4 linked regions of the Styela clava genome follow. The protein of the gene in region 3 purifies or fractionates together with the protein of the main gene of each other region. This does not show direct contact. Links are inferred from orthologs where the notes say so. Each region holds a gene or a part of one and is shown on either strand. Other genes may lie near its edges.

The links.
Region 1: the proteins of putative pre-mRNA-splicing factor ATP-dependent RNA helicase PRP1 (region 3) and splicing factor 3A subunit 3-like fractionate together in Homo sapiens (co-fractionation; 3 studies listed by BioGRID and IntAct, with this or other methods). This does not show direct contact. The link is inferred for Styela clava from reciprocal best matches to the Homo sapiens genes DHX15 and SF3A3.
Region 2: the proteins of putative pre-mRNA-splicing factor ATP-dependent RNA helicase PRP1 (region 3) and calcium homeostasis endoplasmic reticulum protein-like purify together in Homo sapiens (co-immunoprecipitation; 3 studies listed by BioGRID and IntAct, with this or other methods). This does not show direct contact. The link is inferred for Styela clava from reciprocal best matches to the Homo sapiens genes DHX15 and CHERP.
Region 4: the proteins of putative pre-mRNA-splicing factor ATP-dependent RNA helicase PRP1 (region 3) and uncharacterized protein LOC120345481 purify together in Homo sapiens (affinity purification with mass spectrometry; 4 studies listed by BioGRID and IntAct, with this or other methods). This does not show direct contact. The link is inferred for Styela clava from reciprocal best matches to the Homo sapiens genes DHX15 and FUS.

The regions. Positions count from the first base shown.
Region 1 is NC_135256.1:16,760,603-16,767,867, reverse strand, and holds splicing factor 3A subunit 3-like, read left to right. Parts: upstream 1-4,900; 5' UTR 4,901-5,051; coding exon 5,052-6,560; 3' UTR 6,561-6,752; downstream 6,753-7,265. Other genes in the region: GLIPR1-like protein 1, read left to right, coding at 40-102, 344-460, 670-764, 848-989, 1,442-1,551, 2,053-2,153, 2,282-2,332, 2,474-2,600 and 1 more. UniProt on the Homo sapiens protein: Component of the 17S U2 SnRNP complex of the spliceosome, a large ribonucleoprotein complex that removes introns from transcribed pre-mRNAs.
Region 2 is NC_135250.1:12,309,942-12,317,403, reverse strand, and holds the start of calcium homeostasis endoplasmic reticulum protein-like, read left to right. Parts: upstream 1-4,453; 5' UTR 4,454-4,559; coding exon 4,560-4,584; intron 4,585-4,776; coding exon 4,777-4,947; intron 4,948-5,316; coding exon 5,317-5,492; intron 5,493-5,629; coding exon 5,630-5,753; intron 5,754-5,828; coding exon 5,829-5,986; intron 5,987-6,636; coding exon 6,637-6,783; intron 6,784-7,104; coding exon 7,105-7,263; intron 7,264-7,462. Other genes in the region: uncharacterized protein LOC144419834, read left to right, coding at 2,843-3,172. UniProt on the Homo sapiens protein: Involved in calcium homeostasis, growth and proliferation.
Region 3 is NC_135250.1:17,942,143-17,949,636, reverse strand, and holds the start of putative pre-mRNA-splicing factor ATP-dependent RNA helicase PRP1, read left to right. Parts: upstream 1-4,477; 5' UTR 4,478-4,581; coding exon 4,582-6,777; 3' UTR 6,778-7,494.
Region 4 is NC_135250.1:20,547,108-20,554,429, forward strand, and holds the start of uncharacterized protein LOC120345481, read left to right. Parts: upstream 1-4,312; 5' UTR 4,313-4,451; coding exon 4,452-4,470; intron 4,471-5,340; coding exon 5,341-5,456; intron 5,457-5,692; coding exon 5,693-5,819; intron 5,820-6,246; coding exon 6,247-6,608; intron 6,609-6,676; coding exon 6,677-6,797; intron 6,798-6,938; coding exon 6,939-7,055; intron 7,056-7,224; coding exon 7,225-7,322. Other genes in the region: salivary peroxidase/catechol oxidase-like, read left to right, coding at 1-692. UniProt on the Homo sapiens protein: DNA/RNA-binding protein that plays a role in various cellular processes such as transcription regulation, RNA splicing, RNA transport, DNA repair and damage response. Binds to ssRNA containing the consensus sequence 5'-AGGUAA-3'.

The sequences.
Region 1 (7,265 bases), on a different chromosome or scaffold from region 3:
TATATGTGAGAGTAGGGCTCAGTGCATACTAAAGGAAAAATGGCGAAGTGGCTGTTACCAATAATTATCCTTCAATTAGTCGCCTTGTTGTCGGCACTAAGGGTAAGTTAAAACTAATTTTGGATGAAATTCGCCAGAAAATGCATATATACATGTAACAGTCTTGTCGGTAAAGCTTTACTCAGGTGCGGACTAGTCTATCTTATCAAAGAACCATGCTTTGATAAAAAAAAATATAACACGCTTTTATGTATATATATACATAGTAAACACCATTTAATTAATAATAATATATGTTCTTTCTGATAAATACATTACTGAAGTCATATTTTCCTTCGTTTAGGTCAAACGCGGCGCAGGGCCTACAATTATTCCATTGAATGATACCGCAAAGATGACAATTTTAAATCGTCACAACGAATTAAGGCGATCGAGCGGATCCTCCAACATGAGATATATGGTATGGGAAGAAATATGCCGTGGAGAGGAATTCGAGAAACCGTGATTTATATTATGAAAATGACTACTGTATAAATAATCATTGATTAATTGATCCATGATATAATGTAACTGGCTCGTACTGTTTATAAATATGTAAACATATTATGGATTCATTAATTTTATCTTACGTGTAAATAATTTATGTTAATACATTTCATATATATTTAGACTTGGGACAGTGAACTTGCATACTTGGCTCAGGAATATTGCAAACAATGTCACTTTGGTCACAATAAAAATAGGAAACATTCGCGAGGATGGAGGTACGACATGGCTATTTTTTTTACCAAAGTTACGTTATATATATATATTTTATTTCCACTAATAATGGAATGCATACATTTAGCGTCGGTGAAAACATACATGCTTCAAGTGGAACAATAAAAAACGTAGAAAATTCAGTGCAATCATGGTTTAGTGAAATTAGCTATTTTGATTACAACTCAAAAACTTGTCAATCAGGAAAAATGTGCGGACATTACACTCAGGTATCGTATGAAAACATTGTAACGTGATTAAAAACTCTCGAATTAAAATACTGCAAATAGAAAAGAATAACTACTCGTTGTCGTCCTCTCGCCAGGCATATTTGGTGCGATAATAATGTTGCTATATTCATCTTTAAAATGGAAGATATGCAAATGCATTACGTATTACGGATAACGGAATCCTAAAATTCGCTTTGACTCATATAGATGAAGTCACCATTTGAGACGAATCAGACATGACTAAATTGGGTACACATCCACTTTGGAAATAGAACAGGCTACGCAACACGTGAAAATGATTGCTCCACCATTATTTTTCGGAGATTAGCGTTAGCCAACTAATACGTTCACATCATTATAACTTTTGAATTACGTACTTGAAAATGGACTGTCATACAAAAATACGTGGTTCTTATTCCAGCACTTAATTATTGTATATCCTATTTCAATAGGTTGTCTGGGCCAAGACGTTCAAAGTCGGATGTGCAATGGTTTCATGCAAAACTTTATCTGGAGTAGACTGGGGATCTGGCACTATGTTTTTGTGCAATTATGCGACCGCGTAAGTTTTGTTACCAAATAGTTAAATGGTTAAATGACAGATTCATTTGCTTCAGCTGTGAAGTTATACATTCCAGTAATTTGCACAGTAAGCCAGTCGCTCGCTTAATGGGTATATTGTAACATGAGCATCTTTATCTTATGTGTAAATTAAATGTTCATATTTTTGTTAAAGATGGACAAGTTTCACTATTCTCAATGCTAGATATCCACAAGAATATAATTTTTTGTGAGAAGTGTAAAACATTTTCAATGCAAAACATCTAATAAAACAATATGTTGCCTTCTGAGATCAGCTGTGTACTGATTGCTATTCTGTAACAACTTAAAAAGTTCTGCATCGAGTTTTTCCTGACTTTTAGGGAAAAAAATCATTTTTGTTATAAACCTCAAAATCGATCAATATATTCCAAAATTAATATCGATCATTTTTCAAAGGTATGGCCCAACTAACCACTCTTGCTTTTGACCATAAACTAACTAACTCCTACGTTTCATACAGGGGAAATGTATATATGTCTGGTAAAATGATGTCCGTGTTTGAAAAAGGAACTGCATGCTCCAAGTGTGGAGAAAAGGACTACTGCAGAAATCAACTGTGTGGTACGTGAATATGTTTTGTTCTTGGTTGAAATTTCATGTTTAAGCTTTAAATGTCATACGTGGCATGATTGCGGTGCGATTTCATTTATTCCCATATTAAACAACTTCTACTAATTTATATTTTTCAGCCAACAGCGAAAGAGACTTCATTACCAATTCAGCTGATGAAAGTGTACCAAGTAATGGTGATATTTTGTATAGGCTAATATTGTCCAAATCCAAACTCAACAGAATAAAGCAACCGAGGTTAAAGTAACCAATTAAAAACCATTGGTATAGTATGCCTACATTCAAAACAAAAATATATTTTTCTATTACAGCTTCTTCTAATAGCGCTGGATCCACTGCGGCTATCGTGATTCTTGTATTGCTATTGTTAGCTCTACTTGGATTTGTTATCTTTCGTGAGAAAAACAATATTTCAGACAAGTTTAATACCTGGAAAAGGTAAAAATGTCATAAATAATACTGAAACCTATATGAATATTTTTTAAGCCTTTATCGTTCGAAGCAATTAAAAACATTGGACTTCACTAATATTTTTTACAGAATTACATATTTATTTAGAGGCAACAAAAGCAACGTACCGCATCGTCCCAACGCTGGATCAGGTGAAGCAAGAGCAAACGATGCTTATGTTCAAGATAAAACACGGCCACCTGTTCCTCCTCCAACGTACCGTTAGATACACATAATTACCTTAAACTATCAGAATAGTTTTCAAAATATATAATATTTGAGCTCTAAAATATTTTCATTATATATATAATAACTCAGTATTTTATTTAAATTCGATGCCTTCAATCTGGACTTCAATTTATTTTACTAAAATCGTAATTTTGAGATCATAGTTAAACGAAACAAATTTTATTTATTTATCTGTTTAATATGTACTAATCTCTAATTATCAATAATTATGTTGTGGAACAAGCTTATACTATTTCTATTAAAGGCCGACTCAATTATTTATTCTCATAATCAACTACTGTTTATTTTACCGGAATTTATTATAACAAATAGAATTAATATTTATAAAAATTCAACCAAAATCGATTTTATTATTATGATATTTTGTAAACTTTTTTTTTACATATTATCAACTGAAAGATGGTATTATTCAGTGGTTGGATTCAGGATGTTCGCACGGGTTCGCGCGAATCGAACCTGGTCATGTTTTCCAGGGCTATAAGTTTGTCACGATTTTCAAAATGATAGAATCTGTTATTAACGCATCCAATACAAGAGAGAACCCATTTTTAACATTTTGAATCCAATCAGTATCATCAACCATGCATAAACATCACTAAATTAGGACTAGACTGCTTAGATTATTATTCTGTTATGGGCTAAATGAAATTCTAACATTCTAATCCAAAACCTGGCTGGAAAGTCTAGCTGTAACACAGGATGGGAGATGAAGTAAGCTGGTGTAAATTGGAACAGTTATACAACACCGGTTAGATTGGCCGGAACATCGGGAAAATATACAATACATTTACTAATGGGTTGCTGAAGAAATGTATGTTTTCTTTACGAATTGATTTGATTGGTCGAAATGGCTGGTATTGACCATCTTACTAGATTTATGAAACAACCGAGTCGAAAACTATTAAAATCATTTCACTATTATATCGTACAAAATAGTGAGATCTTTCTTTTCTTTTTATACGGATATATTAAATAAAATATAACTACTAAATCGTCAATTTATTGTATATTACCAATGATTAAATAAATGCAGTGTCATTCTCAGTTCTGTATTCTTCTAAATAATATTGCATTGCATTTAGAGTTCCACAAAGATTGATATATATAGCCCAGGGGTTTCCAAACTTTATTGACCGCGAGCCAAAATTTGAATCGGAAGGATGTACGCGGGCCGGAAGTATGTAGTGTCCCGGAAGTATGCGAGGGTTTAGCTGGGGTTCAGTGGATTCACGTTTGACATTTTTCGAAACATGTTTGTTTGACTCATAATGGCGCTTCATGTGGTATTGTTTCAGAATTGGAATAGTTCGTTGGCAAAGTGGACAAATCTCTGAAGCGTGATTCTTTTCAATAAAGAAACACGAACGATGCTATTCATCCGAGGAAAGTCTGTTTTCAGAGTCTAGTTTATTATTTGGCATCTCTAACCTTTCTTCTATGACTGATAACTAAATTACTACCCTATGTAATCCTAATACCGGTACGTATAACTGAGATATCGGCATAATCGAATTGTTACCATGAACACGAGCTTAAAATGGGATAACGACATAACAATTGGCGGTTTCTAGGTTGTAAAAAGGTTAAAACAAAATCTATGTCAATATTTCACTTAAGCTCGGCGGGCCGCGGTTTGGGAACCCCTGATATAGCCCAATAGAATTCAGTGGTTTTAGATATATATCTGGCATGGAAACAAGTACATATGTAAAACTGTGAATAAAATAGAGGCAATTGAAGTCTTTATAATGCCCACTTTTCGTTACGAGATAAGGTTTAAAATTACCTATACCTGGATCACCAATCATCTGTACAATACTGCCGAAAGTGGCAGTATAACTGTATGATTCGACATTCACATTATTATGCAATTTTCAAGCAAACATTTAATTTTAAATTTTATTGTTAAGTAGAAACTTATTTAAAATATTAACGAATGAATGTAAATTCGTTCAACGGTTATTGTTTGATAATTCACGCCATAATATAAATGGAAACAAATATAACACGAAAAATCTGGCATCACTAACAAACTACTCATATTGAAAAGCACTACGACCCTTCAGTTCACTCTGCGAAGCTAGCAGCAGATTTTCGAATTCGACTGGCTTGCTGTGTTTGTGTAACGTTATACCTATCGGGACGTTCGCTGTTGCTGATTTATATGGTCCTGGTTTTTCGTTATCTGCGATGGAGACCACGTTAGAACAACAGCGTAGGCTGCATGAAGAAAAAGAGCGTTTATATGATGCTATGACAAAGGAAAGCATGCATAAGAAATCAGCGGTTCGTGAACAAATCAACTCAGACCACAGAATGAGGCATCTGCTAGATCGTGTTATGGACAATTCAGTTAGATTACAGGAGCTGTACGAAGACAAGGACGGTTTAAGAAAAGCTGAAATACAAGCAATTGCGGGTCCAAATGAATTTGGTGAGTTTTATAAACGGTTACGGGAAATCAAAGATTTTCACAAAAAACATCCAAATGAAGTGTTTGTTCCCATGTCTATGGAATTTGAAGAGTTGAATCAAGCGAGAGAAAATGCAAGCGATGAAGCAACAATACTTGTTGAATTTACTGATGAAGAGTCCTATGGTCGCTTTTTAGATTTACATGAATCACACTTGCGTTATATTAACATAAAAGGCATTGAAAAACTAACTTATGTTAGATATTTAGATGCATTTGATCGCTTGTTTGAAATTCCACGAGATAGGAAAAATACTCAATATCATGACTACATTGATGGTTTATTGCAGTATCTTGTATCGTTTGTTGAACGCATTAAACCTTTACTCGACTTGAATGTCGAGCATGATGAGGTTTTGAAAAAGTTTGAATTGCAATGGGAAACAAATGAATTTCCTGGCTGGGGTAAAGAGGCTGGAAGTGCGATGGCTCATTCTGGAGCTCATCTTGATCTAAGTGCTTTCACATCAGCAGAAGAACTTGCATCATTAGGTCTTGATAGGTTGAAGTCTGCGCTGATGGCATTGAGTCTGAAGTGTGGTGGAACTTTAGAGCAAAGAGCTGAAAGATTGTTCAGCACGAAAGGAAAAACGATGGATGAAATTGAAACATCATTGTATTCTAAAAGTAAAATTAAAGCTGGAAAGAAGGATTTAACATCTCAACGCAATAAAGAAACTGCCATGGTAGAGGCACAAATATATCACCTAGTTGAGCTTGTTAGTGAACAAAGGGCTGCCACAAGGGATAATGTACAACGTCGACAAGCACGTACTGATACAGAGCGTGATGAAGATGAGGATGATGTTATGTCTGATAGTGATTCAGGAGATGATGAGGATGAAGTGATTTATAATCCCAAGAATCTTCCTCTTGGCTGGGATGGCAAACCGATCCCTTACTGGCTTTATAAACTCCATGGTCTTAATATCAACTACAGCTGTGAGATTTGCGGAAATCAAACTTACAGAGGACCAAAGGCATTTCAACGACATTTTGCTGAATGGCGTCATGCACATGGGATGCGTTGCCTTGGTATTCCTAACACTGCCCATTTTGCCAATGTTACAAAAATTGAAGATGCGATGGCGTTGTGGTCAAAAATTAAAGAAATGAAAAATGCAGAGAGATGGAATCCAGACCAAGAAGAGGAATATGAAGACTCTGCTGGAAATGTTGTCTCAAAAAAGACATACGAGGACCTGAAAAGACAAGGCTTATTATGAGCATTTGTGTTGTTTATCAACTTTAGGAAATGCGAAAGAGCTCGTGGACTTAAACTCAATCAACCTGTGTTCTTACAGGAGTAGCATTAAGAAATAAACTTGAACATTCTTGAATCATCAGAAATATTTTTTATATATTTGCATTCGATAGAACTCTCTGGATTGGTATAAATACACTGGTATTGTCAGGTACTTTGACTGAATTGATATCACTTTACATGCCAATATTCTTGATGAATTCCACTTATCATTGCGAACTCAACAATGTACACATGGAGAGATTTAAAAAATATTTTTCGCTCACCATGAAATGAAAGGCTGTTACCATGTTCTTTCTGAATATCAGCAAATTGATATTGGGTAATTTAATGAGCATTGAATTGGTGATAGCCAAAATATAATATTGTTAAGAAAGGATGGGATTAGTTGTAATTTATCGCCGTTGAGATATGACATTGGTTTTAGTTGACACGTTCATTGATGCTAGCTTGTTGTCATTCATGTTTGTAAGTATCTTCCTCATTGGCCCATTGTCAGTTCTAATGTTAAGGGCTTTTTAGCCCTAATTTCAAAAGATGCCTGATGAAGTTATTAGCAAATGAAGCTTTTATTGTTGCTATGTCAGAAATTTGTAAATTCTATCATAGAAGAAATAGACCCAACAAAACTGTACAATCAGTTCTGCACAAAAAAAAACGCAGTTAG
Region 2 (7,462 bases), about 5.6 Mb from region 3:
TCACCGAAAATTCCATTCCAAAAATTTGTACATTTAACTGATGTCGATTATAAAATAATGAATTCCAAAACTATTTTCAGAAGAGACTGGTTCACTTCGGATATTATGAACACGGCACAACTAATTTTGTCATCTCGGTATTCTGAAGTAGACTTGTTATACAGCGCTATCTGGCCCTAAAGTGTATATTCCTTTTCAAAAATTTGTTTGTGCACGAGAATCACTGGGTAACAGCATCAAATATATTCACCCCTGACCAAAATACCATACAGATTTATGATAGCTCAAATATGAAGTACAATGAAAATGACGAATATGCGATTTCGCTTCTTACGCGGCCAAGGCAAGGAACAAATAAAGTACCAATTGAATTCCCCGCTGTCAAGCAACAAACTTTATGTGCATCGTGTGGCCCATTCTCGATTAGTTTTTGCATAGCCCTATGTAACAAAATACGACCAGAGCATATACTATTTGACGAGAAAAATCGTAGGAAGAAAATATGCGATGGTGTTTCATTAACTTTTTAAGCTATTAACCTGAATCAACAAGCGTTTTAGGTGTCGCTGCCTGAAGACCTCTTGAGGTCCCTCGCGACTCCTGTCACAAAATTTAAGTTAGTTTCCACTTGTATTTGTAATATTTTTTCATATATCATACCATGTTTAAATTGTGTTGACGAATAAATGATGATTGATTGATTGATGGTATGGTCTCTGAAAATTTTTCGTCGGTATTTAACATCAACAAGAAACGTGTTATACCCGCGTCCAGGCGATTGGAAATTCCGATACTTCGCAACTGTCAACTGTCTTACATTGAAAATCAGACCATGATCGAATGCACTTCATGTTTGAAATGGTACCATCCGAAATGTTGTAGTGTTCCAGTCCCAGTTTAGGCACTGGAAAACAGCGAAATAGAATGGAATTGCAAAAAGTGCATCCGATGCTAAATTACACGCAAAACAATATTCAACTAGATATGATGATTTACATTCTCATTTTTTTGAGGTACATCGTTCAAGTCAGACGAAGGATCAGTCTGTTTTACCTATTTGGCTTAACATGCCCTTTGCCAGGTTTTTCTCTCTTGGTCTAGTCTACAATACTGAGATGAAAACCGCCACGATGGTTGGCACCTTGACGTGGTGTGGTGGCTTTCTAGTAAGACCAACCAACCATTTTAGGAAATTTTTTAAAATATAAGATAGATCCCCGGTAGGGAAGAATGAGATGATTTCACAATTCGTTTATGTTATCTTACTTAAATTGAGGCACGCCATTATAATCTATACAGTATGTGGGTTGTGATAGCGTTGTTTATTAATTTTAAGTCGGATTCTTGTTTGGGTCATGTGTGACAAGATATATATTATTATATATATGTTCCCGACATACAATTTTTCTTAAACACGGTTCGAGGTTACTTAACAATATATATGTTTATTTGGGATATTTTATTTAAAAGTGGGGCACGTGATTGAAAAGTACAGAATTTGGGGTTGAAATACTGATATTTATTACATTTGAAGTAAAATTCCTGTTTGAGCCATGTTTGACAAGATATTAATATATGTTCCCGACATACGATTTTTCTCAAACTTGGTTCGAGGTTACTTCACAATATGTTCTTTTGGGATATCTTATCTAAAAGTGGGGCACATAATCAAAAAGTACAAACTTTTGGGTTGAAATACTAATATTTATTAATTTCGATGTAAAATTCATGGTTTCGCCATGTTTGACAAGATACTGTTGTTGTTCACCAATGCCAAGCAATAAAGCCATTTTACTTTTGTACAGTTGTAGTCTAGGTATACAAGTATATAAATTACAAGAACAAAATTGCCTGGATGTGTAGTAATTGATAGACCATTATTTTTTAATGAAAAGAAAAAAATACAAAGAACATTATGCCATTGAAAATGTACGGCCCCGTAGTGATGTACACCAAAGTTGGGTCTCATGTAGTTTCGTACCTAACATACTTCTAGTGATATTTATTACATTTGATGTAAAATTCCTGATTGAGCCATGTTTGACAAGATATTAATATATGTTCCCGACATACAAATTTTCTCAAACTTGGTTTGAAATGACTTCACAATATGTTTTTTTGAAATGTCTTATCTAAAAGTGGGGCACCTAATTAAAAAGTATAGAATTTAGGGTTAAAATGCAGATATTTATTAATTTTGATGTGAAATTCCTGTTCGGCCATGTTTGACAATGTATTATTATATGTTCCCAACATACAAATTTTATAAAACTTGGATTAGGATGACTTCATTTTAAGTTCATTCTTATATCACCTTCAAAAATCTGCCCGACCATCGGAAATTACAGATGAGTTTTGTGCAATTCCGAGTGTAGCAAAATTTCGCCGTAAATCTGGCAAGTGCTTTGCGACTAGATTCCCCTTTTTCGCCATGTTAAATTGTTTTCTGGCAACGCTATTTTACCGTTCCGAAAACGAGAGAGAGATATGTCCGCTAGGGCAACTTTGGGTTTGGGGGTCTCCTTACCTAACATACCGTACTTCTAGTGGGTGTAGCATAACAATATGATATGTCAACTCAATCCTAACCCCCATCTGACTACGGCCTCTTGACTACGTCATGCTACGCTCACTAGAAGTATGTACGAAACTGCATGAGACCCAACTTCGGTGTACCGTACATCACTACGGTGCCGTACGGTACATTTTCAATGGCATAATGTTCTTTGTATTTTTTTCTTTTCATTAATTAATAATGGTCTATCAATTACTACACATCCAGGCAATTTGTTCTTGTAATTTATATACCTGTATACCTGGACTACAACTGTACAAACGCAAAATGGCTTTTTTGCTTGGCATTGGTGAACAAGATAAAGCTTTGGAGAGCAATGCTGAATTATTGCAACAAATGGCATTGTTGAAGTATTTACAGTCTAATGAATCTTCGTCTGCCTCAAGTACAATATACCAGTGGATTACTGCAGCACGAATTGGTAATGAACTGTACCAGAGAGTTTCAGGAAAACGCAAGATTGAACAATTCAGAGCTGAATTTTTGGCAGGAGTTGTATCATATCTGCAGAAAAACCCAAATGCATCTCCCAAAAGTCAGAAGACAGAAATTGAAAGATTAATTGGTGTTTTTATCCTGCAAATGAAGTCTTTATAAGTGAAAAAAGATGATATTTTTGGAAATAATTTTGATTCCATTTATGATTATTTTGCTTTTGCACTTACGCATTTGCAATATTGCAGTATTTTGAACTTTGAAAATATGAATTGTTTCTGATATTTCACTTAACATTGACTTTTTTACTATTTTTGTTTTGAACCATGGCTCTCATCCATTAACCCTTTGTTAGATTAAACTTTTGTTAGATTAAAAAGTGCATACAAGGCTATTACTGGGACTAGTAGAGGTTGTGAATAATACATGTTTTGGTTTTAAGAAACGCTTTCATTTCAAACATATCGACACATGTAGATGCATTTTCATTTTTATACCTCACAGATTGTTGATATATTGTGGTTGATACCTTTGATTGTATTATATTTTCACAAAGTCTGTCGCTTGATTGACGACATTGACTAACACAGATTTATATCCAATATTACATTGTCATTTAGCTAGGCCAAAATATGCTTGGTGCACCCACTTAAAATTATATACAATGCTGTGGAAACATTCATATTGTAAAACAGCTCATCCACAAAATAATATAATTTTATTGTGTCTCCTTGACTACTTTAGCATTCTGAGGAGGAGCCATTATGCGGTCTCCTTATGAAACAATGCAAAAGTTTGTAAGTTGGCATTTTTGATTGAGGTGATCTTTATAACAATGCCGTTTTTATGCTTTGTTGGGCACTATGTAAAATAAATTTTTGACAATACTGCATGGGGAAGAATTCATTTAGTGCTTCTGTTTTTTCTGTTTTGTTAAGTATGCTATGGAGAATTTATTTTTCTCCTATCGCCAGACAATTTAGTCTAAACTGTCAATGTGAATAAATATAGGAGCAGTCGTAGAAATTGATATATATTTATGTCATCGAAAAAAGGGTTTTGCATATTTGCTTTTAAATTAATAATAGAATTAAGTACAGCATATCAGAGACAATTTTCCAACACATTCCTACGTTAGCTAATAATAAATTTCGACTGAATTGCAAGTTGTATTATTTGTAAATGGTGATTCAAATTGAGAAAAATAAACATATTGGTATATTTCAATAAAATATGTAGAAAATCGTAAATATACCTTATATTAATCACAATGTTATTGGATGCATAACTGAAATAGAAAATCCTTGTAGTAGAAATTTCATGAATATTCATTTACAGCAAACTTTAATTTTAAAAAATAAAAAGTATGATATGGCTGTTTAGATTTGATATAAGGAAAGAATTGTTTATTTTCATTGTTTATTTTTATTTGTATGCTTGAAAAAGGGTTTAATATCTTGTATAAATATTCGTGTACTTATCTTCAAATATAGCTACATAGAGCCTGTAAGATTTAGCAATATATTGCCTGCATTTTCCAATCTATAATATGGATGTTCTACAACCACCAGTGGGTAAGATGAATTTATCTCTTATTTTGAAAATTTCAACTCAAATTTTATTGGCTTTGAGAATAAAATTGTGAAATCATGTTTTGGGTTCATTTACTTTATATAAATGTTGTTACCTAATAAAACTGCTAAAATATCCAAAATCAGACTTATTCAGAATAAACTTTTTTTTTTTTAAAAACATCTTTTCAAAAGAACCTGAGGTGAAAAATATCATTGACAAATTGGCAAACTTTGTTGCAAGAAATGGAGCAGAATTTGAGAAGATGACGAAAGAAAAACAAAAAGGGAACCCAAAATTTTCATTTTTATTTGGCGGGGAACATTATAATTACTACCAATACAAACTATCAACAGAACAACAAAGTAAGGAAATTATTTTTTATATTTTTGGGAAATTTAATTTTGTGTTTGTTCAAATGAAATCCAGTATAAGTTTCGAATATTCGTTTTACATCTTTTGCCTGTAAGGGTGCTGTTCAAAGACGCAACGGTCTATTAGAAAGTTTTTCTTTCTTAATTATGGTATTCAATCTAGATTACACCACTGATCATATTGCAGAGTTTTTACATCAGTCTGATTGTCCAAAGTTACTCATGAGTCATGACTTTTAAAATCTCATGTTTTTATATTATATCCTGTTTACATTAAACCTGTTGCAAATTTTGAAGTTTGTATTTATACTCTCTCATCATGTTAATTTTTCGCTGTATTCTTTTTTATTGCATTTTCAGTTCAAAATCAGCAAAAAGCAAAATTGAATGCGCAAGTAGTTGCACAAGAAGCAATGGTACAACATTCATTGCAGAATGCACCTTGGCAACGAAATCCTCAACAACAGCAAAGTCAGCAACAAGCAATTCCACCTCTGATGCCACAATTCCCAAGGTTTCCCCCTAATATGAGAATGGTATGTCAGGTGTTCTGTTTTTTGTATTTTTGGTAGATGGATGATGGCTAATACACAGTGTTAGTCTTGTATGTGGTTTTATATCTATTTCTTTTTGTAATCTCATTTTATATACTGATCTTCTTATTATATTATAGCCAATGTCGAATGCTCCGCCATGGCAGCCACAGTCCCAAAGATTCATGCCACCGAATTCAGGACCAAACATGCATCAGCCGCCACCTCCGTTCCCAGGCCCCGGTAATAACCAGACAGTACCAAGTTAGTGACACTTTGATTCATCAAAATTTGAAGTCGAAGTGACAAAATTTTTTTTTTAATGAAAACTGTTTTTAGACATGCCGATGCCTCCTAATCAGCAAATGGGTGGACAACCACCACCACAAAATTTCAATATGCCGTATCGACAACCACCACAGAACATGCCACCCAGGACATCAAGGTTTAGTCAGTTACCACCAGAGCAGTCTCAAACTTTACCAAGTCAAAATCAGGTTTGAAATTTGTCATTTCATTTTAGTTCATATATATATCAGTGGTTCTCAATGTGGTATGGGGGAGCTTTTAAAATGGTACGCGAGCAGCTTTGAATTATTGCAACAATTAGTTTTTGAGTTTGCTAATATATGGCAGCAACACTTTCTCTTTATATTTAATACTGTATGTATTCGCTAAACGGGTTCATAGCGCTACCAGTCCTTGTCTTTAGAGATAGCCCTCGTCCGCTACTGCCCAACTAAAATGAAACGAGAGTGTAATAATTAAAACCTTTCAGCTTTGACAGTAGACGATGCAAATTCTTTCGTGCTTCTGCACACAATTATTACGTTGTTAGGACATATATTTAATATGTTGAAACTTTGCACGAAGATCTAGAAATGGATGTAGTGCCACATTATAAAATAGTCCCATAGCACGTTGCTTGTGCCTTTGTTGCCCACCCCAAAAGGGGGCTTCAATGGTGTTACGCTGTTGGAGTAAAAAAAAACACTAAAGAACCACTGATATAGATGTACAAATTGAAAATTTGATATGTTCACATAGTATTCTGTCATGTTATCAAACTATGTTCTACTCTAAACAGGGCGTTGGGCAAGCAGCTGTTGAATAAATTATATTGTTTGATGTAGTTCATTTTGTTCAGGAACCTGAAGACAAAAAAGCATCAGACTTGAGTCAAGGCAAAGACGAAGAAGGCCAAGAAAATGAAGAATATCAAATTGTTCAAGCTGAAAACGAAGCCAAAATAAAAATTGAGAAAAGCAGCAGTAACTTAAAACAACAATATGAGGTCATGATGCACATCTGTACTATTAACTATATACAGGATGACGCAAAATGAATAGAACTCATAAATTTATTTAATACCTAAACACTTGAACTCCTGTTTGTGTATGATTATACCTACAAGTTTCAGTATTCTAGGACAGTTTGCACCAGTTATGTTCTCTCCACAATATGTTTCGAATTTCCCGGGTTCTGTTTTTTCAGGTTACCCTGGAATTTTGTTAATTGCATTCAAGATGCGCACAATTTTTCTTTATCGCAGGCCTGTAAATGGCTTTTTTCAAATTTTTGTATTTGTATTCTTTATAATAAATTTTTAATTCAGGTTTTGATGCACCAACAACAAGAAAAAATTGATGCTGCAATAGCTCAGACCGAAGAAGAAAAATTAAGAAATCTCGCTTCGAGTACAGGAATTATAACTTCTGATTTCGATGTTGTTTTGCAACCCATTATCAACACTTGCACCAAGGACTCAATTTCAGTGAGCAATAAGCTTGTTGGTCCTTTGTTATAGTTCTGGACTGTTTGCTAATTTATTTTGGATAAACAACGGCAATATTTGTTACAATTCAGTAGACTTGTAAAGAAATGTTAGTACAAAGTACAAAGAAGCTGACTAATGCATTGGGAAATTTATATTCAGTTAATTTACTCAATTCTAATTTAGTAGATAGATTTAG
Region 3 (7,494 bases):
ACTTTTAACAGTAATTTTGAATAGTACCAATAGTGAAAAGTATTATATATAAAAGTTGTAGGGAACAAAGCGGGACTTTATGATTTATGGGGCTCCAAATATAGGCTTAAAACGAGATTTTCCGAAATTTGAGGCGTACTCGATATATCGAGGCCGAATTCGAATATGTTGCTTAATATGCCGACAACTTTTGACAACGATTTCGATCACATGTATAAATTAAGTGTCTAACACCAAAGTATGATCAACAGCGGAACAAAACTTAACAAAATATGGCCCTTCAAAAATTGACAAAAAATCAGATTTTGCTGTATTTCGTGCGAACTCAATGATTCGATGCCGAATTCGAATATAATCCGCAAAGTGCCGAGAACTTTTAACAGTAATTTTGAATATTACCAATAGTGAAAAGTAATATATATAAAAGTTGGAGGGAACAAAGCTGGACTTTATGATTTATGGGGCTCCAAATACAGGCCATAAACGAGATTTTCTGAAATTTGAGGCGTACTCGATATATCGAGGCCGAATTCGAACATGTTGCTTAATATGCCGACAACTTTTGACAACGATTTCGATCACATGTATAAGTCAAGTGTCTAACACCAAAGTATGATCAACAGCGGAACAAAACTTAACAAAATATGGCCCTTCAAAAATTGACGAAAAATCAGATTTTGCTGTATTTCGTGCGAACTCAATGATTCGATGCCGAATTCGAATATGATCCGCAAAGTGCCGACAACATTTAACAGTAATTTTGAATAGTACCAATAGTGAAAAGTATTATATATAAAAGTTGTAGGGAACAAAGCGGGACTTTATGACTTATGGGGCTCCAAATACAGGCCAAAAACGAGATTTTCCGAAATTTGAGGCGTACTCGATATATCGAGGCCCTTGACTTATACATGTGATCGAAATCGTTGTCAAAAGTTGTCGGCATATTAAGCAACATATTCGAATTCGGCCTCGATATATCGAGTACGCTTCAAATTTCGGAAAATCTCGTTTTTAGCCTGTATTTTGAGCCCATAAATCATAAAGTCCAGCTTTGTTCCCTTCAACTTTTATATATATTACTTTTCACTATTGGTAGTATTCAAAATTACTGTTAAAAGTTGTCGGCACTTTGCGGATCATATACGAATTCGGCATCGAATCATTGAGTTCGCACGAAATACAGCAAAATCTGATTTTACGTCAATTTTTGAAGGGCCATATTTTGTTAAGTTTTGTTCCGCTGTTGATCATACTTTGGTGTTAGACACTTGACTTATACATGTGATCGAAATCGTTGTCAAAAGTTGTCGGCATATAAAGCAACATATTCGAATTCGGCCTCGATATATCGAGTACGCATAAAATTTAAGAAAATCTCGTTTTTGGCCTGTATTTGGAGCCCCATAAATCATAAAGTCCCGCTTTGTTCCCTTCAACTTTTATATATAATACTTTTCACCATTGGTACTATTCAAAATTACTGTTAAAAGTTGTCGGCACTTTGCGGATCATATTCGAATTCGGCATCGAATCATTGAGTTCGCACGAAATACAGCAAAATCTGATTTTTCGTCAATTTTTGAAGAACCATATTTTGTTAAGTTATGTTCCGCTGTTGATCATACTTTGGTGGTAAACACTTGACTTATACATGTGATCGAAATCGTTGTCAAAAGTTGTCGGCATATAAAGCAACATATTCGAATTCGGCCTCGATATATCGAGTACGCACAAAATTTCAGAAAATCTCGTTTTTGGCCTGTATTTGGAGCCCCATAAATCATAAAGTCCAGCTTTGTTCCCTTCAACTTTTATATATAATACTTTTCACTTTTGCTACTATTCAAAATTACTGTTAAAAGTTGTCGGCACTTTGCGGATCATATTCGAATTCGGCATCGAATCATTGAGTTCGCACGAAATACAGCAAAATCTGATTTTTCGTCAATTTTTGAAGGGCCATATTTTGTTATGTTTTTTTTCCGCTGTTGATCATACATTGGTGTTAGACACTTGACTTATAGATGTGATCGAAATCGTTGTCAAAAGTTGTCGGCATATTAAGCAACATATTCAAATTCGGCCTCGATATATCGAGTACGCCTCAAATTTCAGAAAATCTCGTTTTTGGCCTGTATTTTGAGCCCATAAATCATAAAGTCCAGCTTTGTTCCCTTCAACTTTTATATATATTACTTTTCACTATTGGTACTATTCAAAATTACTGTTAAAAGTTGTCGGCACTTTGCGGATCATATTCGAATTCGGCATCGAATCATTGAGTTCGCACGAAATACAGCAAAATCTGATTTTTTGTCAATTTTTGAAGGGCCATATTTTGTTAAGTTTTGTTCCGCTGTTGATCATACTTTGGTGGTAGACACTTGACTCATACATGTAATCGAAATCGTTGTCAAAAGTTGTCGGCATATAAAGCAACATATTCGAATTCGGCCTCGATATATCGAGTACGCATAAAATTTCAGAAAATCTCGTTTTTGGCCTGCATTTGGAGCCCCATAAATCATAAAGTCCCGCTTTGTTCCCTTCAACTTTTATATATAATACTTTTCACCATTGGTACTATTCAAAATTACTGTTAAAAGTTGTCGGCACTTTGCGGATCATGTTCGAATTCGGCATCGAATCATTGAGTTCGCACGAAATATAGCAAAATCTGATTTTTTGTCAATTTTTGAAGGGCCATATTTTGTCAAGTTTTGCTCCGCTGTTGATCCTACTTAGGTGTTAGACACTTGACTTATACATGTGATCGAAATCGTTGTCAAAAGTTGTCGGCATATTAAGCAACATATTCGAATTTGGCCTCGATAGATCGAGTACGCCTCAAATTTCGGAAAATCTCGTTTTTGGCCTGTATTTGGAGCCCCATAAATCATAAAGTCCAGCTTTGTTCCCTTCAACTTTTATATATAATACTTTTTACTTTTGCTACTATTCAAAATTACTGTTAAAAGTTGTCGGCACTTTGCGGATCATATTCGAATTCGGCATCGAATCATTGAGTTCGAACGAAATACAGCAAAATCTGATTTTTCGTCAATTTTTGAAGGGCCATATTTTGTTAAGTTTTTTTCCGCTGTTGATCATACTTTGGTGTTAGACACTTGACTTATAGATGTGATCTAAATCGTTGTCAAAATTTGTCGGCATATTAAGCAACATATTCGAATTCGGCCTCGATATATCGAGTACGCCTCAAATTTCAGAAAATCTCGTTTTTGGCCTGTATTTTGAGCCCATAAATCACAAAGTCCAGCTTTGTTCCCTTCAACTTTTATATATATTACTTTTCACTATTGGTACTATTCAAAATTACTGTTAAAAGTTGTCGGCACTTTGCGGATCATATTCGAATTCGGCATCGAATCATTGAGTTCGCACGAAATACAGCAAAATCTGATTTTTCGTCAATTTTTGAAGGGCCATATTTTGTTAAGTTTTGTTCCGCTGTTGATCATACTTTGGTGGTAGACACTTGACTTATACATGTGATCGAAATCGTTGTCAAAAATTGTCGGCATATAAAGCAACATATTCGAATTCGGCCTCGATATATCGAGTACGCATAAAATTTCAGAAAATCTCGTTTTTGGCCTGTATTTGGAGCCCCATAAATCATAAAGTCCCGCTTTATTTCCTTCAACTTTTATATATAATACTTTTCACTATTGCTACTATTCAAAATTACTGTTAAAAGTTGTCGGCACCTTGCGGATCATATTCGAATTCGGCATCGAATCATTGAGTTCGCACGAAATATAGCAAAATCTGATTTTTTGTCAATTTTTGAAGGGCCCTATTTTGTCAAGTTTTATTCCGCTGTTGATCATACTTATGTGTTAGACACTTGACTTATACATGTGATCGAAATCGTTGTCAAAAGTTGTCGGCATATTAAGCAACATATTCGAATTTGGCCTCGATATATCGAGTACGCCTCAAATTTCGGAAAATCTCGTTTTTGGCCTGTATTTGGAGCCCCATAAATCATAAAGTCCCGCTTTGTTTCCTTCAACTTTTATATATAATACTTATCACTATTGGTACTATTCAAAATTACTGTTAAAAATTGTCGGAACTTTGCGGATCACATTCGCATTTGGTCTCGAACCCTAAAGTTTGCATGTAACATTGAAAAAAATATTTTCCGATGTTTTGTGTTCCCATCAAAAGTAGCCTATTTTTATTTTGTATTTTTTTTTCATTCTGCAAATATATTCTAGTACGTTTTAGTTTTTCTGTTTTATGTGATATACAGTTATGTATGTTGTAGTTACCACTACCAGCTAAATGTGCTTAAACTTATGTTTTGGTCTGAGTTGTTTCCTTCGGAACATATTATTTCAAATAGGATCCATTTATCCCTCATAAATATTGTAATAAGAGATCATTTTCCGCATGGGAACCATTTGAAAACTGCAGAATATTTTTCCGCTGAAATTCCGCTGGATTCACAGTGGTCTATCCCACGTGTATTCTGGTTTTGGGAGGCGCCCAGCACTGATTTATTCTCTAAATTTTTGAAAATTTGTTTCCCGCATACTACGCGAAAGCATGTCGAAGAGGCACAGGTTAGATATCGGCGATGATCACAAGAAAAAAAGGCGGTCAGAGCACGACAGGGATCGAGACAGAGATTACGATCGTAAATCAGATAACCACACTTCTATCCCGATCCCAAAGCCTGCATTGCCACTCAACCCTCTCACTCAACTTCCATATACACAAAGATATTATGACATTTTGAAGAAGCGGCTCGGTTTACCAGTGTGGGAATACAAAGAAAAATTCATGAAATTGCTAGAAAATCATCAAACACTTGTTTTGGTTGGGGAAACAGGTTCTGGAAAAACTACTCAAATTCCTCAATGGTGTGCAGAGTATGTTAGAACAGCATGTGCGGTGTCTACAAGAAAGGGTGTTGCTTGTACACAACCGCGTCGTGTGGCAGCTATGAGCGTTGCTCAGCGTGTGTCTGAAGAAATGGATGTCATGATTGGCCAAGAGGTAGGATATTCTATTCGTTTTGAAGACTGCTCATCTCAACGCACTATTTTGAAGTACATGACTGATGGTATGTTGCTCAGGGAAGCAATGGCCGATCCATTGATGGAGCGTTACAATGTTATTTTGCTAGATGAGGCTCACGAACGTACATTAGCCACTGATATTCTCCTGGGTGTTATAAAAGAAGTCACAAAGCAACGTCCGGACCTGAAAATCGTTGTTATGAGTGCCACTCTTGATGCGGGCAAATTTCAACATTATTTTGACAATGCACCATTGTTGAGCATCCCAGGTCGTACACATCCTGTTGAGATTTTTTACACACCTGAGCCAGAACGTGATTATTTAGAAGCTGCTATTCGAACCGTTATCCAGATTCATCTTTGCGAAGAAGAGGAAGGCGACATCCTTATGTTTCTTACTGGCCAAGAAGAAATTGATGAAGCATGTCGACGAATAAAAAATGAAATCGACAATCTTGGGTCAGAAGTTGGAGATGTCAAAGTGATACCACTATATTCCACCCTTCCCCCGCAACAACAGCAGCGTATTTTTGAAAGTGCTCCTCCCAAAAAACCAAATGGAGCTATTGGAAGAAAAATCGTCGTATCGACTAATATTGCAGAAACATCTTTGACAATCGATGGAATTGTCTTTGTCATAGATCCTGGATTTTCCAAGCAAAAAGTTTACAATCCTCGTATTAGAGTTGAATCGCTTCTGGTGTCTGCTATAAGTAAAGCCAGTGCACAACAGAGAGCAGGACGTGCTGGTCGAACAAGACCTGGAAAATGTTTTCGTCTTTACACTGAAAAGGCTTATAAAACAGAAATGCATGAAAATACATATCCTGAAATTTTACGTTCCAATCTTGGCTCTGTTGTTTTACAGCTCAAAAAGTTGGGAATCGATGATTTAGTACATTTTGATTTTATGGATCCTCCTGCTCCAGAAACCCTCATGCGAGCATTGGAACTACTCAACTACTTAGCTGCACTCAATGATGATGGTGATCTTACTGAACTTGGATCAATCATGGCTGAGTTTCCTCTCGATCCTCAACTTGCAAAAATGCTTGTTGCTAGTTGTGACTATAACTGCTCCAATGAAATTCTCAGCATTACTGCCATGTTGTCTGTCCCACAATGCTTTGTCCGACCAAGCGAAGCAAAAAAAGCTGCTGATGAAGCGAAAATGAGATTTGCTCATATTGATGGAGACCATTTGACTCTACTTAATGTTTATCATGCATACAAGCAAAACCAAACCAATAATCAGTGGTGTTATGACAACTTCATTAATCATCGATCGATGGCATCAGCTGACAATGTGCGACAACAATTAGCACGAATTATGGATCGATTCGCACTACCTCGTAGAAGTACTGACTTTGCTAGTCGTGACTATTACATCAATATTAGAAAAGCACTTGTTTCAGGATTTTTTATGCAAGTTGCTCATCTAGAAAGAACAGGTCACTATTTAACAGTTAAAGATAATCAAGTTGTCCAGCTACATCCTTCAACATGCCTTGATCACAAGCCCGAATGGGTTCTATATAATGAGTTTGTATTAACGACAAAGAATTACATTCGCACCAATTCTGATATTAAAGCTGATTGGTTAATCAAGATTGCACCACAATATTATCACATGGACAACTTTCCCCAATGTGAAGCGAAACGTCAGTTAGAAAGACTTATAGCGAAACAAGCTGCTAGGGAACGTGTATCTGCTGAATGATTCATTAATAACAATATGTGAAATGTAACTATCATTCCTAGACATTAGCCACATAAATGTATGTGCTCATGAACTCTTGTGGTGGTGAAAGTTGTATATGTGTGAGTTTGCTCATACAATGTAAGGAAGATATGAATCAGGGGAATTTCTTATGTTTGAACCAAATTTCACACAGTTTGTGAATTTGAGTATTGGCTCAAAATGTCTGGAAAAACAAACGCATTAAATGGAAGGTCTCTCATACTATCTCATACTGTTAAAACTTCGAAACAAAACAGGCTGCTTGATTTTCTCATGTTTTTGTCTTTCAGAGTTTTCTACAAGATATTGTTACTTTTGTGAATATGTTCCTTGTGTTATATTATTGATTGGAGAAAAGTTTGAAAATAATTTATATTTAGCATCCCAAACCTTCGAAAACCTAAAAATTGTGGGTGTTGGTTATGATAAATTCTGACTAGATGTGCAAAGAAGCAGTATTGTAGAAATCTGAAGTTTGTACTTTATCACTGAGGTTAATTTTTTTCACCTAACTGGCGAAAAGTAAGACTATTTTTAGCGAATTAGTAACTATTTTCAGACCTCCATTTGTTTCCTCTCAACCAGATTCATTGCTTTTAAACTCTTTCAAGTAACTACCTATACATGGCCTCACAATTGCAAATTGGAAAAGTTTGGATGATATTTATTTTGTGATTTCAGCCATAATTTTCTTTT
Region 4 (7,322 bases), about 2.6 Mb from region 3:
TTGAATGGACTGCTTGGTTCATAACAAATGAGCACAGCGTGTGGAGACTAGACGAACATGCATTCAAGCATCGCATGACAATGGAAAGACCTCATCAAATTTGTAACAAATATCTGGAAACGCAAACTAGGTATGTTAGAGGAGACTCACATTTACAGATCCGGTATTCCTGTTATCCTGGCACAATTGGACTCACCGACTTTCCACATGAACTTTCAGACAAATACTACTGGACGCAATGGATTTACAGCCAAACCGTGGAAAGTAATAATTTTGGGTGTGAGAACCTCGTCGCTATACAGGCAAAGACACAATTTGGGAACAAGTTTGCCAGCGAAACTGGAGATGTGTTCGAGCATTTTGGGCCAAATGCCGGATTTACATGCAAAGATAAGCACCAATTGAATGGAAAATGCAATAATTACAAGGTCAGAGGCTTATGCCAACGGGTACAAAAGAATTATGGATCGATGGATTCTTCCTTCAAGTCGTTAAAGAAAGAAAATGCTCTAGACCCAAATAAAATGGGTGTGCCTTTATCTGTATTGCACACAAAGTCTGCCTTCTGCGAACTATTTGGGATATGTTGTGATAATGTCCGGAGTAAACACGTTAAAAACGTCGTTCCATCGTCGGTACTTCTATCTGCCCAGTATATGTGCAAGGAATACAGACAATGTTGTGATGTATAACATATATAGGTGATAACCACTGAAATATTGAGGCAACTGAATTTTGCTACATTAGACAATCATGCTTTTATTGCCAACTCAAACAAATCACTAGAAATAACACCAAAAAAGCGGTTGATTGTTATTATCCGAGACACCCTGTGTCGCAATGTATATATAAAAATAATTTTTTATTGTATTTTTAATAAAATTGCATGTATCTGAGTGATTTCTCAGTTTATGTCTTATAATTAAACGCCATTAGCAAAATGTTTTTACTATTTATTCAATTTTTTAAATGAGTGCTTCAAATGCAACATGGGATAAACAATCTCAGTGATAGAAGAATGCAGATAAAATCCAAGATAATATTGAACTAGCGTTCCGCAATATTCATCCTTGGTTTCTAGAAAGGATTAGCTCAGGTTTCGAATGATTTCTATCATTCATAAAAATATATTTCAGAGTAAGAAAACATAATAACAAAATTTACAAGCTTCAGTAAACAGATGTCATTTGTATAAAGTCCTATTTGCGAGTACGCGGGAATTTGCTTGTGCGAAATTTAAAAAGTTGGACATTGACTATTTTACAGAGTATATTTTAAAAAAATATATGGTGTATTATCTCATAATAGCTTCATATGGAATATAATATTTTGCGACAGCGAAACAACAAAAAAAAATGTACTTACCTATTCACTCTATATTATGATAAATCAAAAATTTGAAGGCAAGCTGAAAGTACTTCAGATTTACCTGTTATCAAAAATGTTAGAAACGAAAGTAGGAAATACTTATTATTATACTATATTTTAGAAATAAATCACCACTGACGAGTTACGTATGGGTTCATATTTGGTACTGAACTAGCAATTCAAAACTGTCAGAGAAAAAGTAAAATAGCAAGGAATTACACACTCACGGCGCACTTGTACGAAAAAAAAGGCTGCATTTAAATGAAACTCAATTTTATTATATGCCTTTCAAAGTTTGTAAACATTTAGGCCTATAGAACAAAGGCAAAAGGTCAACTATTCTTCCTCATCTCTGCCTGATTTTCCTATAAAATTGTAAACTAATCACTCATGTTCGCTAAACCCGGTCCAACAGATAAATAAACTGCAGCAAAGAGTGTCTCTCTGCATTGTTATGTAACAATACAGGCAGACCCTACCTAACAGAAAGTAAACGACATAGAAACGTGGAATGAATTTATTGATTCATATACACAGCATTTAAAATATGAAACAATAAAAAATTGATAATAAATACAATTTGTGAAATATTCAATCATATTTTAGTTGTTTTTAAACACAATTCTGTTATTTTTCGCGGCGAACTTAGCAACTCGGCGCGGCGCACCGTTTGGGAACCGCTGTCATAGAGGATTTAGGCATATTCTGCATCCAAGAATAATCAAATTTGATGGAGAGACTGATGCCATTCAATGCTACTTAGGCCTAAGTTGCACTGAAAAAATTTTCAGGGATGTAAGTTTCGAATATTTTATTTTCGAATATATATATATATATATATAATTTGTAATGGTAATTCTGATTCTGTATAACACCGCCCCCCCATCTACACTGATAAATATGCCATAGTCGTTATATTTAAATACAATTATAATTGAGTTAGGAATTACGGAATAACAGCGTGGAATCGCACCTCAAAATTAGGGGGGGGGGGTGTTTGAAATTTTAGGGGGGGTGTTCACCCCCTATAGGGGGTGTAGGGATATCACTGGATCATATGTGTACACATCTGGATTAGTCGAATAACATTGAGCAAAACCATATGTACAACCCATGATGGTTGCGGTTTATCAAAAGCTGTAAATGGTAAGGAAAATATACACAAAGGGCTGAGGTATTCGATTTTGCAGAAACCCCAATGCGTCGTGCTATCACTTCATATAATCTTCATGAATAATTTTTTCTTTTTCAAATAGTACCACGACGTATTTTTTGAAATTTCTCCGAATTTATGTTTATTCATATCCTTATGTAAAATGATGTATTCAAACCCTGTGTCTCTCAGAACACGGATGATTAATCTTAATGTTAGCTCATGCCCTAGATATATATATTTATTGTCAATACTGTATCTTTAATGGATTTTTCCAGAATCGTGAGAATTTTGAGACATTTTAAGCAAACCGAAATAATTTGATCGTCAATGAAATATTTGGGTGAATCTATCAATCACCAACTATCGGCGCGGTGGTGTGGCTCAACGGGCTAAGCGTTAGGAATACGCTCGCCACCGCACCTCTAATTACTCTGCGTGGGTTCGCAGGTTCGAACCCCATGCAGGGATGGTTATGTGCGAGAGGATTGCTGGACTCCTCGCCATCGTTGGGTGGTTCACGTAACCGCTGGTCGGTTACGGCTTCCTCCACCACCAAGTCCATGCTTCCGAAAAAAACAAACAATACAGTAAAAAACTAATCCCATACCCGACTTGGAATGGTAACCGGACGAGAGGCCGTGGTTCGCCATATGGATAAGCCGTCTTATCGGCTTTCCTCTCCCCCGGGATAAATATGTAAATCCTATCCTATCCTATTTCCCAACAGTATCCAGTGCCGGATTCATCATTATGCAAGGTAGGCTGAAGCCTAGGTGCCTCGACATGCAATTTTGCAGGCTTGTTTAAAAATTTTACCGGTTTGAATATTTTTTGATTTGAATATTAATGGGTTGATAATTCTTGTCATCATTTTTTTCCCGTTATCAAATAAAAATTAAAGGGAAGTAGGATAGGATTTACATATTTATCCCGGGGGAGAGGAAAGCCGATAAGACGGCTTATACATATGTATAACTGTATTGTTTGTTTTCGGAAGCATGGACTTGGTGATAGAGGAAGCCGTAACCGACCAGCGGTTACGTGAACCACCCAACGACGGCGAGGAGTCCAGCAATCCTCTCGCACATAACCATCCCTGCATGGGATTCGAACCTGCGAACCCACGCAGAGTAATTAGAGGTGCGGTAATTAGAGTCCTGAAGTATGCGTACCAAGGTGGCGGACACCGGAACGTAGAATGTGTACCAGGTTAGGGTTGGGCCACAATTTTATTCCAATTTTCCTTATATTAGTTCTGTTACGAGTACGAGTTACTTTTGTCGGTACAGTCGATAACCGAACCGGTCGATGGGCGAGCGTCGATGTAACCCGACGCTATCGATTTTCTCGCTTTACTTGTAAAAATTAAAATTTGTCATTACTCACGTGACTAAATCCTTTTGCTTTGCCAGATTTTTCATGAAAGTTTTTTTCGACTTGTCATCTATTGTACTCCTTTCTGTCAGCCAATTGAACGGTATTCGCTAAACACCGGCACAAAAAATATAATAGTTTTCAACTACATTTTAATTGAAACAATGGTTTGTACTATAATATTATTTTGGAAATTTGCAGTGGCAAAGGAGACATTCGAGTTGACAACACACACACGCACAAGTGAAGATGAACAATTATCTAAAGACTCTATATTAGAAGAAACACATTCTTGCACTTGCTAAAACTGTATTTTAGACAATAAACACTGTGGTTTTACTTTACGGTCGAATTTGATAGATCTTGACTTTCTTAGTAAATAAATGACGGTAATCAAATAGAAAAAAACTGGCAACGTCAATTCAACGAATAAGCGTGTCGTACTGTCGTCGCTGATTTCTTTCGCTTTCCCGCTTTTCTGCTTTCAGACGATTTATCCGTCTGTCCTTGGTCGACTCTTCAAGCTTATTTGTGGAACAGGATTTACTTATTTATGGCGTCTTCTAATTCTCGTAAGTGAATTATTTTATGTCATTTTCTTATTCAACATTTGGAAACTGTCTTTATTTTTAAGCAGTTTTTATGAAATAATAATCTAGTAACTAAGCGCTCCGTTCACTCAGACTGCTGGACTGTCTGACTGTAGGTAGGCTATAACCCCGACATCAAAAGACATCAATTATAAGAGTGATTGCAAATCCTCCTTTACGAGACAGTCTGGGCCTCCATATTGACTCAAAACCGCAATATTTTTTTTCCAAGCATTACTAGGTAAATATGAATAACATAACCAGCGATAAATAAAAACAATCATCGTTGCAAGTGAGTCCTGTTAAATGAATTTATCGAAAGCAATTTAAATTAGGGCCGTCAAATTGGCATTTTCAGATTTTAGAGTAATTTATGCACGAATTTAAATCTGTCAATTTGATAATAGGACCGGCCACATGCATGCTACAGTGCTAGATAATATTTATCGGGTGACTATATACAGATATACAATGTGGGGAAAAAAAGGCTTTCGGAACAATATCGTTATCAATCGTCCTTCGCATATTATAGGTGTCATGACAAATTATTCACTGTATTTCAGCCTAAATTTTGATCCACTTTTTTCATTTTTTTTGTTATTTTTCTATATCAGATAATGACAAAGTGACAGTAAAATAGTTGGTCCAAAGTTATAAGACGACATTTAATCCAAAATAATCTTGAAAGGGCTGCACTGAAAATCCTACGGTTGTAATGAGCATCATTATCAATATCATCATCATTCAGTCATTTGAGTTTAAAAGAATCCAAACATATTTGCACTGACAGTAGGCTTTAAAAATATTCAAATAATCAAGTTTGAAATTAAATTTGTAATTTGTACTTTCCAGAATATGGATCCTCCGGTGGATATGGACAGCCATCTTATGGTGCATCTGGTGGACAGGGATATGGACAATCTAATTACTCTCAAAGCGGGGGTGGCACTCAAGGTTATGGTCAGCAGGTAAATTGTATTTGAACAGTTTTAAAATTTTAAGATTGAATTTACGTTAGTAAGACATCAAAATTATAATAATGTTAAATACATTAGCCTATAATAATATTTATACCTGAATTTAGAAAAGAGTTTTATTTATTACGATATTCAATCAATAGTGAACCATCGTTGCTTCTGGCAATCCCCGTTTTGCATAATCATTGGTCCCTACAAAATGTTAAAAAATTTTATTTTTTGTTCAGGGCTATGGATCAGCTGGTGGGCAACAAAGCGGAGGCGCAGGCGGAGTGACTAGTGCCCAAGGATATGGTTCAAGCTATCAGCAACAGGGTGGTTATGGCAGCTATGGATCGAACAACCAATCTGGAGGTATGTGGTAGCAATATAATTATGACTGAGACAGTGAGTCAGAGTTTGACATGCTTTTATTGATATAAAGTCGGAGTCCTAATAGAAATAGAAGTCTGACTTCCAAACATTTGCTTGGAGTCAAAATCACAGATGGAAACTAAAATGTATTGGGTTTATTGGGCGTTTTCCAAGTCTTGATATAAAATGAAATAAGGCTTGAATACATCAACAAATTATCTTTCGTAGCTGGAATTCTGAGTTGAAATTGCTTCAATCCGATATCATATGCCAAATTTTTATTAATCAGGAATCGGACGCATGGTACAGCAGTCATTTTTGAAATAGCTCAGATTTGATAATCTCGTTTAAATCCCCCTTAACTCAGCCCTGGTTAAATCGTATGTATTTGATTGGTCATATCCTGTACTACATATCAATTTTCCAGGCCAGGGTTATGGACAACAGCAGACTGGAGCTGCACCTGCTGCTGCTGCTTCTGCTGGTGGTAGTACTAGTTATGGTGGTCAGAAAAACAATAGCGGCTACCAACAAGGTGGAGCCAGTGGACAGCAATCTGGACAACAGCAAGGTGGTGGCTATGGTGGTCAGCAACAACAGAGTGGTTACAGTGGACAGCAAGGTGGTTATGGTGGACCACAACAAAGTGGTTATGGTGGTCAGCAGCAAGGTGGCTATGGTGGACAGCAGCAAGGAGGATATGGGGGAGGTCATCGTGGTGGACAACAGCAGTCTCAGCAATCGTATGGATCCGGTGGAAATTCAGGTGGCAGTGGGAGCTACGGCCAGGTGAATTGAAATTTTGTTTTGGGTGAATTTGAAAATGAACTGTTTTTATAATGTTTGTTTTCTTGCAGTCTGGCGGAGGTAGCAGAAATCAATCATACGGCCAACGGGACAGTGGTTCCGGGGGAGGTTCACAGTCTTATGGTCAGCAAGGTGGTGGGGGAGGAGGCGGCTACAGAAATGATCAGTCTGGTAAGCTGGACTATACTCGTTTAGTTTCAAACAATATATATATATATATATATGATTAATTTATATTGCTTGATACATAAGTTTAAATAATTATAAATTAATATTCCCATTTCTAACTTACTTATTCTTATGGCATGCTAGGTGGTGGAAACTACGGTGGAGACCAGGGTCCCAATAACTATAATCAAAGTCAACAGGGGCCCATGGGGCAATATGGAAATAAGAACCAGGGTTATCAAGATAGAGGGTATGGTTCTGGTGAGTAACTTAGCCATCTGTTTGATGGTTAGAGTGTGAAATTAGCAATATCATTTAAAAAATATTTTCCTGCTCAAGTAGGAATATAATTCAATCACTGTCTGTGTTTTTTAAATTTTTCGCTGAGGTGAATTTATGTTACTGACCTGTAAATGATTGGCTATTTCAGGTGGCGGAGGTGGTAGAGGATATGACAGTAGGGGGGGTGGACGAGGAAGCAGATTTGATCAAGGTGGTGGAAGAGATGGTGGTGGTCGTGGTAGAGGT